Arabidopsis thaliana: one gene and its partner. The protein of the gene in region 2 interacts with the protein of the main gene of each other region in a pairwise test. Each region holds a gene or a part of one and is shown on either strand. Other genes may lie near its edges.

Region 1 (6,598 bases), on a different chromosome or scaffold from region 2:
AGGTAAAATGATCTAATTGAATAGAATTGTATAAGTGACTTTAACAAATTTTGTTATTTTATATTTAAATATTTTTTATGATGGATTCGATCCGCTACCATAAATAGCGTTGTCAATTTTTGCAAAAAAATTAACATGATAATCCGATTTTTACCTTTCCGCAAAAGATGAAAATGATTCACTGGTCCGGTGAAAAAAACAAGACTATTTTGACGACGATGATTATAAATGACTTATAATGTCATTAGTTTGATAGCGACAAAATTTTTATTTGCTTAACGGGTACTATGATCTAAAAGAATCTAATATGTTTGTCTTTAACAACAGTAAATGCTTCGGAAAAAAAAAAGTTCTAAATATGAAATTAGAGATTGTAACTTCCACCAAATAATCTAGATACATGTAAGAGAGAATAAGGTTACTGTTTTAATTGCCAATCTACTTCTTGCACAAATCTCTTAATTTTGTATAGAGACTGTATAGTATAACCTTCCAAATAATTGAACAAAGTTTAATATTGTCCCATGGTAAATCACCTAGTCGAAGTATTTATATCTCATTATTATGAGTTTTTGACAAATCTAGAAGTCTAGAACTAAAAGTTGAGAAACTATTATTGAAAAACGGGCAACAGTTGTAATTGTCTGCTTAAGGACCACGTAGCTTAAGTACCGTCGTGGTGTTTCTTTCATGGAGCATATCTAATTACGGTGAAGAAGAAATAGTTTGTAGTAATATTGCTGTTTCTTGTTTAAATAAAAGCATTAACATCTTGTTGTGTATTTTTACATAACATTTTTGGAACTCAATACAGGTGACACAAACAAATATATATGGTGGAGATAGTTTGAATCAAGATCAGCTCTCTGTGAAGAAATAGGAATTATATAGAACAAGGCCTCGTCCCATTCCTAACCTAAGAAGATCCCGTACATAATGTTGCTTACTTTTTGTTTTACGGACCCGATTGTACTCTCCCCATGTTGGGCGGATATGGGTAAGATGAATTGTTCAAGGACGAGATGTCACCATTTTGAGTCTCGTTCTTTGTTTCTCTCTGGCCGTACTGATTCATACCGCTATTTAAGCTAGCATAGTAGGATGACATGGGACTAGCATGAACAAACCTGAAATTGACTCCATTTGGGTGAGTTTGGTTGACAAGTTGTTGATTCTGGTGCTGATGTTCGTTGGAAGCGTGGTTAGGTCCATCAGATGAGATTCCAACACCAAGATTGAGGCTGATGGTGTCTGTTTCATCTGGTCTGAACCGAGGCTGGATTTCGTGATTGCTGCTAGACTTTGAAGTGGGAACATCATGATCGTGTTTGCCTTCGTATGTTGTTATTACAGCTTTTGGATCATGTGATGCTCTCTCCACGTGTTTTCTCACTGGGCATCCATGAGCTGTGCATTTGTAGTAGCTCCTACAAAAGGCCGAGGAACATCATGAAACATAATATCTCCATTGCGCACATGTTGAGTCTGTTAAGATCACTATCTTCCATATTCCAAACCAAATTCCTAAAAGAAGCAACACTTTATGCACATGTCAAATAACTAGGTCCTGAAGACAAGGACTAAACTGTTCTAGCTACCATTTTGAACTCGCAAGTTATGTTTATGTATGTTCATTCGAGAAAAAAGCAAGGAATTTTTTGGGGTGTTAAAAGCTTTAATGCTGTACAAACCTGGGATTTGGGTTCCCCCTTACGACTTTCTGCCCATATTTGCGCCATCTATAACCATCATCCAGAATGTCAACCTCACTCAGAGTTTGAACAACAACCCGAGGCTCCCGGATGGGTTTCACTAGTGGAGTTATTTCCATCGCACCCTCCATCCTCCTACATAAAGTTAAAATAAAGTTTTAATCATGTCAAATCACAGATTCAAATCAAGCACCTGAATCCTTTGTTAAACTCTAATACCTCCGTTTTGAGAATGGATCATCATCGTCCGGCTCATCTTTATTCCTATTTGACGCTGCCGCTTCTCCACCATCGTCAGATGCTGAGATAGGAGGTACTTCAGGGTTACCAGTTTGTTCATTGGGGTTAGACAAGTTGTAGACGCCAGATCCCTTCTCTGTATGCAGACATAAGAGTAGAAGGAAAAAGTTATAGATATTGCCAAGGGAGTAAGTGCATATTTGTCTCAAGTTTTAGTTATGATTACCATCTCGGCCAGTTGAAGAAGGATACTTGTCTAGCCTTTCTTCTTGTGCAGCCATACCACCAGAGTTTCGGCGACCAGGTTGAGGTTTAGGATGGTCATGTGTACCCTTGTATATAATATCGGTGATCTGCCCATCATGAGATCTTTCAAATAACTTTTTCACTTCACAATTAGGATGTGTACATTTATAATAGCTCCGGGGAAATTCACTCCCTTTGACATGCTTTTGACCATATTTTCTCCAGTTATAACCATCATCAGCCAAGATGGATGGAGTGCTTCCTCTGGAGTCATTTTGGGAAGTCTGGATTGATTCCTCTTGATCAGATCCAGCCGGAATATCTGAGCTCGTTGGTGTCATCTGACAAGGAGGAGTTGGCCGGCTTAGCTCACTTGAGGAACCTGCAGCATCACTGATCGAAGAAGGTGAGTGTGAGGATCCATGGCCCTGGCCTTGAAAATGTACTGGTGGCTCACTTCTAATCTTGCCAAGCTCTGCATATACCTTGAAATCAATAAAGATGTTTAGACAAAGTCATCCCCCAACAATATACAAGTAACTTATAAACTGTGAGCTTTTGGATACAAGGCTCCTTATGAAACAATTTAAGGCTGGCATGGTATTATATGTATGCAAAGGCGAAAGATTTTGAGATTTACAAGCAATCCAAGCGCTGAATAAATAGACTTCGTGCAGAAAAATTAGGTCAGCCACTGTTCGGGGTTCATATGTCGTCGACTATCTGAACAGTACATTACATGCAAAGCATAACAAACAGCATTGTTTTGGACAATACCATATTTGATGCAGGAGGTCTGAACTCAAATTCACTGGACTTCTGCTCAGTAAAGGTGTTCTGATGGAACCCCCTGCCTGTATAAGAACTTGAGCTAGCAGAAATGTGCACTGGTCGAGGCTTGAACAAAGAACCAGTAGTAGGGGAAGGTTCTGGCTGAAAGTTAAAGAAAGTGGCATATTATTAATGGCATGAATAAAACAATACATATCAGATTTTGTAAAACATGAACCTGATCTATCAATAAACATGATGTTTTAAAAAAAACAGTCTTCTAAAAACAAAAACAATATCTTGTTCAATCAAGGGATAAGAAGATATAACTAAGAGATGCAAAATAAAATTGAGCACATAGCATATAACCTATTATTCATAACTTAATTGAACAAAACGAATACTCTATAGATCTAAATGGTGAACATGCGAGTAAAGTACATTTTCTCACCAACAGAATCATTCAATAGCTCATATAAGTAAAAGGAATCCCCACACAGACGCAGCTAACCGAAACCTAAATGTACAAAGAATGGAAAAAGAAAAGAGAAGCACCAAACACATGGAAGATAGACACTAGACAGTATGAAGAAGAAACGACAAAGAGCAAGAGGATATAAATAAAGTATCCAGCACCAATAGAACATGATAAAAAAAAAAGGTTTATTCGAAAGAACAATCTGAACGGACACAAATGCAAACCAATGCAGAGTATAGTAGCACAAAGAATCAGAATCTTGGCCAAAGTCCCTAACGTAAGCAAACAAATCATAGTTTTTTAATCACTTGTAATGGACTAAGAAACAAAAATGGAAACCCAAGTCCAATGTTTTTCCTAGTGAGCAAGCAGAGAGCATCTCCACCAAATTACCAGAAATTCCCCACTAACATGAACAGTGATCCAAATCGAAATTGAAGCAACGAGAAACCGAACAAGTGGGACAAAATGTCAATGTTATGAATCAATTCCAATTCCAAACTCAGTTTCAAAATGGCACAATCCAATTTCATGAAAAATCCTTTAGGTCTTAAAAATATGAAATCAGAAAACCTAATTTCTCAAATCGACAACAAAAATGAGGTGAAACTGTGATTGCATTTACCAAAATCGAAGAAGAAGAAGAAGAAAGAGATAGTAAAGTAGCTGCTTAAACCTTGATGTTGGAGATGAAAACAGGAGATTCCAAAAACGAAGTCGGACTCAACCCAGGAGGAATCGTGATATCAGTCGACCTCGAGATCGGAAGCTTGGCCGGTGACATCAGCTTATACCTAGCACCTCCACCTCCGTTTCCTCCAGCTGAATCGTGCTTTGCCGTGAGATCTCCCGTCGCCGAACAATCTCCCTGAAACTCCTTCCGGTCATTAGCTTGAGGGTTCATTTCAGAGATTCGCAAGGGTAGAACAAAAATGAAGGAAAAAAGAAGCTAAGGGAAAGTAGAAGAAGCTCTCAGCTATGGCGAAATGAGAGAGATTTTGGTCTCTGCGTTAGTGAAGATTGTAGTGAAAGATGAAAGAACGATATTGACTTCACACCTCTCTTAATTCTTTGTTTTTCCTTTTCATTTTTTTAATAATTTATTTTCTTCTTCTTCTTTTTCTCCTTTATTTAGCTTTATCAATTTCTAAAGCAACAACAACAAACGTTAAAGTTGACAAAAACAATTAGAAGATGTAAACAATCCTCTTTTTTTTTCTCATGTACATTTGTCAAAATGTAAAAGATAAAAAAGTTAGTGTAATCAAAATTGCTTGTTTAAAGAGTTGTTGGAACCAGAAACATCCTAAATCTCAAAGTAAGAGTGTTGTAGCATTGGTAGATTGACACAGTCAGAAGCAGTATTGTTGATGATAATTAAGGATCAGGTATCAACAGTCTCAGGTCTTTTAAAACTTACCTTTTTGAATCTTTTGTGCGCCAATGATCCGTTGCTTCGACTCTCGTCTATCTTATCTTCTGCGATGTTTATCAATAGTTCAATACCGACGCTGAAATAAATGTATTTGCTGATTTGTAACAAGTTTCTATTGTGATGAGGCCAAATATCAATCGCATCATCGACAATTACCACTCTACGCTCATCAACAGCAAGAAGATCGAGTGTCTTCTCATAAGGACTTTGTTCTCTGGCTAGGACTCGATCTCCAAAGTATATTTTTTTCCGGATCAATCCACTTCAACACGGTCTGAGCGTAACTAGAATCACCCATTGTGTATACGTGCATGATGAAACGCTTGTTGGCTTCTAATAGAAATTCATGAAGAAAAGGTCGTAGCTTTATCATATATTCGCTGGGAGTGGATCTCTGTTGATTCTCCACAGATCTGACCTTGAATCAGCTCCTTCGATTAGATACTTCTGCTCTTCGGAAAGGTCCGAAACAAGTACCGAGTGGACAAGCGTGTGGTCCAAGTCAAGGACTAGGTGAAACTTCTTCTTCTTATCATCGTTGAGACAGGCCATTTTTTTCTTGTTTTGGATTTTGGTTGCAGAGTATGATTGTTGGCTCCAAACAAGTGAAACTCTGTAATCGAAAGAGAAACCCTAATTTGATCGGTGATAATGAAATTGATATGCTATGATTATGTATTATATAGAGAGGATATGTGTGAGATATCTTTGGGCCGTTCTCAGTTTCTTTCATTGGTTTAAATGGGCCTAGGCCCTTGAGTCAAATTACCTACCAAATTATGTGGGAGTTGAATCGAATTTTTTTTGTTAAAAATTTAAGCTATTGGTTTATCTTGTGGGGTAGCGGTTGTGTTCTATTTGCGTGGATAACAGTTAGGATATATAATGGTGAGTGGTGACATTCTGGATCCAAGTTGGTCCACCTCAAATCTTGTTAGAGAATTTTTCAAAAAAAAAAAAAAACATGTTTCTTTGGTTGTAAAACTTCCAAAATGTGTAAAAGATAAGAAGAATATGTGTATATATCTCTCAATACTGTTCAATGCCGTTTCAGAATAAAACTATGTAATTCTTTTCTAAACCAACAATTGTTTTACTTGTATTTTAAATAATTATCAATCCATGTTTTGATAAAAACTGATAATTCGAAAGTGGGTAACTCGGTAAAATGATAAAGCAACAGAAAATATATCATAACTATTCAAAAATATGTGACTAGTGAAGATTTTAGATAGTAATTTTTTCTTGGTGCAACACTCATATCATATACATAGTCTTGTCATTTTTACATATTAAATTTAATGTCTAGATTAACAGAAGAAATAAGGAAAAACTCGATAACTGTTTTTTTTTGGTAATTAAAAAACTCTAAGAAAATCTAGAAACGGAAAAGTTTGCATGAAAATTTCCAAAGTTCAAAAAGGTGTTGTCCCCTTCACATAACCACACCATCATCATAATTTTGATCAAACATTTGACCAAGAAAAAGGGGTGGTTTCACTATTTTAGTTTGGTGTACTTAAGATTTTGAATTATTTAAAGTTCACGATATATTGGCATATACCTCGAAGAATGGTGATCTTGTACTCAAGTGCTGGAGGAGACCTTTAATTTTTAGGAGTGAAATTCTCTTCAATTTGCAATTTTCTATTTGATCACGTTGAAGATTTCAAAAACATTTTTTAATCCAATTTTGTATGTTTGAAATTAGTCAGG
Region 2 (4,278 bases):
GTGAGGGACATGACGTTTGAGAATTACGCCGGACCGGCTAAGCATCAGGCCGTGGCACTCCGTGTTGGTGGAGACCACGCGGTGGTTTACCGTTGCAACATTATCGGTTACCAAGACGCGCTTTACGTACATTCTAACCGACAGTTTTTCCGCGAATGCGAAATTTATGGAACGGTCGATTTTATATTCGGGAATGCGGCTGTGATCTTACAGAGTTGTAACATTTATGCGCGTAAACCAATGGCTCAGCAGAAGATTACTATTACGGCTCAGAACCGAAAAGATCCGAATCAGAATACGGGGATTTCGATTCATGCTTGTAAGCTACTAGCAACACCGGATCTTGAAGCCTCTAAGGGTAGTTATCCGACGTATCTCGGCCGTCCGTGGAAGTTGTATTCTAGAGTTGTGTACATGATGTCGGATATGGGTGACCATATTGACCCGCGAGGATGGTTGGAGTGGAATGGTCCGTTTGCATTGGACTCGTTGTACTATGGTGAGTATATGAACAAAGGGTTGGGTTCAGGAATTGGTCAACGAGTCAAATGGCCTGGTTATCATGTTATTACCTCAACGGTAGAGGCTAGTAAGTTTACGGTGGCTCAGTTCATTTCTGGTTCTTCGTGGTTGCCATCCACCGGTGTGTCCTTCTTCTCCGGGTTGTCACAATAGATTGTCTCAGCCTTGTATGTTACGTATACGAATGATTTTATGTACAAACTCAAGATCTGTAATATAGTCCATAAGCCATTTTAAGTGTACTTATTATATGACAGGACATCTTCTTGAATGAAATAAAGATATGATTTGAATATGTTACTGTATTAGATCTTTGCTCAGATCTTACCATGTGAATATATACATTTATGGAAATATTCAATCTTTGGAAGTTATTGCAACTTTTGTGACCTTCTGCACATTTCTGGCAAATGGAACAACTCTTTTTACTTCTCTAAATACACTTTTGAATGTAAAGAAGCTATCTGGATTCTGGACCAAAACAACACACAAACCCGAAACAAAATCGAATTGAAGAAATCGAACGAACACCTTAAGATAGGTTTGAAGGGTTGGCTGATTTTGATTCAGCTACTACACATAGAGGTTATGCAAACACCAGAATCTGGATTCTGTTGCTCTTTCCAGATTCTTCCAGTGACTCTAAGTTTCAGTTCTTTCTTGTCTCCACCGGAAAAGAAGAGTGCCATGTTTCTTTGGATTATAAGACCGTCATGACTGTCTCTGACTTTCCTGTGACTATCTCTGACACTTCTTGGTGTCCCTTCCCATGTCTGTTTTCTCCCACTGCCTCCAACTTCTAAACTGTATGTATAGTTTCGTGCGTCATCTTCATCGCCCATGAATCTCAGAAACGCCATGTAAACTGGAGCCATACCGAGCTGAAACGCTTCAAAATGAAGACAAAAGTATTGACCAAAACATTGAAACACCTACAAAACAATATAACAAAGAACCCCCTCAGAATCTCAGACAACTGAAGAACTCGTAAATCATAAACAAGAACAATGCTAACCGTTAGCATCCAAGTAGCGTTCTCTACTTCGCGTGGATTAGATTTAACATAACGATGATTAAACGTACATCCAGTATGCATATCGACTTTATGATCATCTCTTAAATGAGCAACAAGGAAAGTAATGTCACCTACAGCAGCACACTCCGAGCCAGCATATGGACAACTATAAGGTCTAAAGTTACATTGAGACTCATGCTTTAGTTTACTGTAATAAGGGAAAATCCCAAGGCATCCAAGATTGTAATACTTGCACGGTAACTCAAGCGACTCAGCTACTTTCTCAAGAGCGATTATGCACTCTTGATTTACAGGTTGAACATAAAGTATGTCCATTATGACACTACAAAAGAAGAAACTTTTTCACTCATACATATATCAAAACATCCATAAACCCTCAAGAAACTCAATAGTAACATACCATAGCAATGATAAACAAATCAGATCATTTGAAGATAACGATCATAAAAATTGGAACTTTATATTCGTAAGAAGCAATAAGATCTTTCTCAACCCTCCAATGTTAGGAGATGATGAGATACGAACCTGATGGATTGGTGGGTACATTGAATTGGTGCAGACAGGGCATTCAAGGAGCTCGTAAACGCTTGTAGCCGGAGAGATTACCACGGTGGCTCCTCCCTGAGACTTGGTTGATGAGAATTGGTGTTTTTGATGGATCTCATCGTCATCGATCACGGAATCGATACTATCTGTTTCCATTAACACCAAAATTTTCGAAAATCAAAAAGTCCTAATTTTAAAAATTGGGACTTTTCTCTGTCGGGAAAATAAAAATTCTTTCTTTTCACGCAGATCAAAAGAGCAAGAACGAGAGAGAAAAGGGAAGCTGGAATTTCCCTCCTTTCTCTCTGTCTCTCTCTCACTGGGTTTCGCCAAAATTGTGCTTTTCTTCGTTGGCTTTGTTTCATCTTTTTTTGTTCTTCCAGAGAAGAAGTTTGAGGAATTAATTATACCCGTCCAGATTTAAAGCTTTTTGGTTGGATTTTAATCCGACGGTTATTAGAATCTGACACATGGGTGTTTGAATTTTCCTAATAAGATTATTTGTTACAAGAGCGTTTTCTTGTTGAATACTTTGAATTATAAGATACATCAATGAAAAGATGGACATTGCATACGATAAAAAGTTTGTTACATCATCATTTATCAATGTGCAAGTTGTGCATCCTTGTGTTTTCTTATCCAACTTTGTTTTTCTTTCCTTCATTTATGTACAAAGAACGGTAAATATTACGCATACAAAGATACATTCACCACATTTTCTGATGATGATGATGATGATGGTGGTGATCATTACATACTTGCTACAACAGATGGAATCTCTGCCTCCACTTCAGTTTCTCCATCCGATCCCTCCTTTGTCGTCTGCAACAATTAAGCCAAGCAATTCAGATAATGAGGTTATCAAACAAACCAGACAGTTGTTATCGGTTAAGTAAAAGCTCGGTTTTTACCTGTGGGGAATCTTTGGAATTGGTTTCAGAGAGATACCGAGCCAATGCTCCTTTACCACGGAGAATCTTAGCTCCAGAGCCTCGACGCCCTTCTCCTTCAACTGCTTCTTCATCCACCACAACCGCTTCTATCATATCGCTGCCTGTACCCTCGTCCGGAATCTGAGAAAAACAAATGTTTTGCAGAAATGTGAAAAGAGTTTGAATACGGATTTTTAGCAAAACGGATTTGAAAGTAATAAGAGGTGTATTTACCTCGTACATAGAGTCCATGAGGATGCTTTCTAGAAGAGCTCTTAAGCCACGAGCACCCGTGTTTTTCGTTATTGCTTTTCTAGCTATAAGCCGCAGTGCGCTTTCTGTGAAATGCAGCTTTACCTGAAGAAAGAGAAGATGGAGACTTGTCTCAAGCTTTGGAGCAGAAGGAGAGAGATAGAGATAGAGAGATTAGTAGTTACACTATTCATCTGGTACATCTTTTTGTATTGCTTTCCAAGAGCGTTCTTGGGTTCTGTCAACACCTGCAATCCAATGATATTACTGCATATTCTATGAACATGGTCTAGTAATGCAAAAATCACAATGTCACATATTTATGTCATTCCTAGTACCTGCATAAGCTGGTTCTCAGTCAAAGCAGACAAACTGACGAGAACTGGAAATCGTCCAACAAATTCAGGAATCAAACCATAAGCAATCAGGTCACTGCTTTCCACCTGCAACAGCAAACATCTCATTTCAAACTTCGATACAAACCAAAACAAGTAGAAGAACACCCAACATTTGGTGAGTGAAGAGATGAAAAGACCTACAGTTTCCATTAGGTTTGATGCAACAGCGGCGTTTGTAACACCACCAGCCCTCATGTTGGCACGTACAGGAGCACCAAACCCTATTGAAGAATCATGGCGCCTGGAACCAAAAAAAACACACTCATATGCTTATAACGCAATTCAGTTTAGAGGATAGAAACAAAAAACGGAGGAATTTGAAATATGTTCATCAGTCAGACCTCTCTGAGATAGTCTTTTCAATGTCTACAAAAGCACCACCACATATGAAGAGTATGTCCTTTGTGTCTATCTGTAGATAGTCAACAAGACCGCATGTAAAAAACAGATGATTTACAGGGGAGACTACTAATCAAACTTAAACAAGAAAACAAGAAACCATGTCGATTACAAATTTTAAACCCTAACACTCCAATCACCATGCAAAGAACATTAAATTGGAAATCTCTTTTGTCTACATAATCAATAATAT

Evidence for each region.
Region 1: the proteins of AT5G53360 (region 2) and WRKY20 interact in a two-hybrid assay, tested with the Arabidopsis thaliana proteins (one large-scale study listed by BioGRID).

Annotation. Positions count from the first base shown.
Region 1 is NC_003075.7:13,436,343-13,442,940, forward strand, and holds WRKY20 (WRKY family transcription factor family protein), read right to left. Parts: upstream 4,655-6,598; 5' UTR 4,352-4,654; coding exon 4,124-4,351; exon of another isoform or gene 3,433-4,123; coding exon of another isoform or gene 3,421-3,432; exon of another isoform or gene 3,132-3,420; coding exon 2,976-3,131; exon of another isoform or gene 2,684-2,975; coding exon 2,179-2,683; intron 2,089-2,178; coding exon 1,932-2,088; intron 1,848-1,931; coding exon 1,692-1,847; intron 1,428-1,691; coding exon 956-1,427; 3' UTR 663-955; downstream 1-662. UniProt on the Arabidopsis thaliana protein: Transcription factor. Interacts specifically with the W box (5'-(T)TGAC[CT]-3'), a frequently occurring elicitor-responsive cis-acting element.
Region 2 is NC_003076.8:21,646,080-21,650,357, reverse strand, and holds AT5G53360 (TRAF-like superfamily protein), read right to left. Parts: upstream 2,536-4,278; 5' UTR 2,261-2,535; coding exon of another isoform or gene 2,084-2,260; intron 1,983-2,083; exon of another isoform or gene 1,881-1,982; 5' UTR 1,874-1,880; coding exon 1,538-1,873; intron 1,455-1,537; coding exon 1,089-1,454; 3' UTR 791-1,088; downstream 1-790. Other genes in the region: PMEPCRF (pectin methylesterase PCR fragment F), read left to right, coding at 1-675; CLPX (CLP protease regulatory subunit X), read right to left, coding at 2,855-2,926, 3,016-3,177, 3,271-3,393, 3,474-3,536, 3,627-3,731, 3,828-3,927, 4,028-4,098. UniProt on the Arabidopsis thaliana protein: E3 ubiquitin-protein ligase that mediates ubiquitination and subsequent proteasomal degradation of target proteins.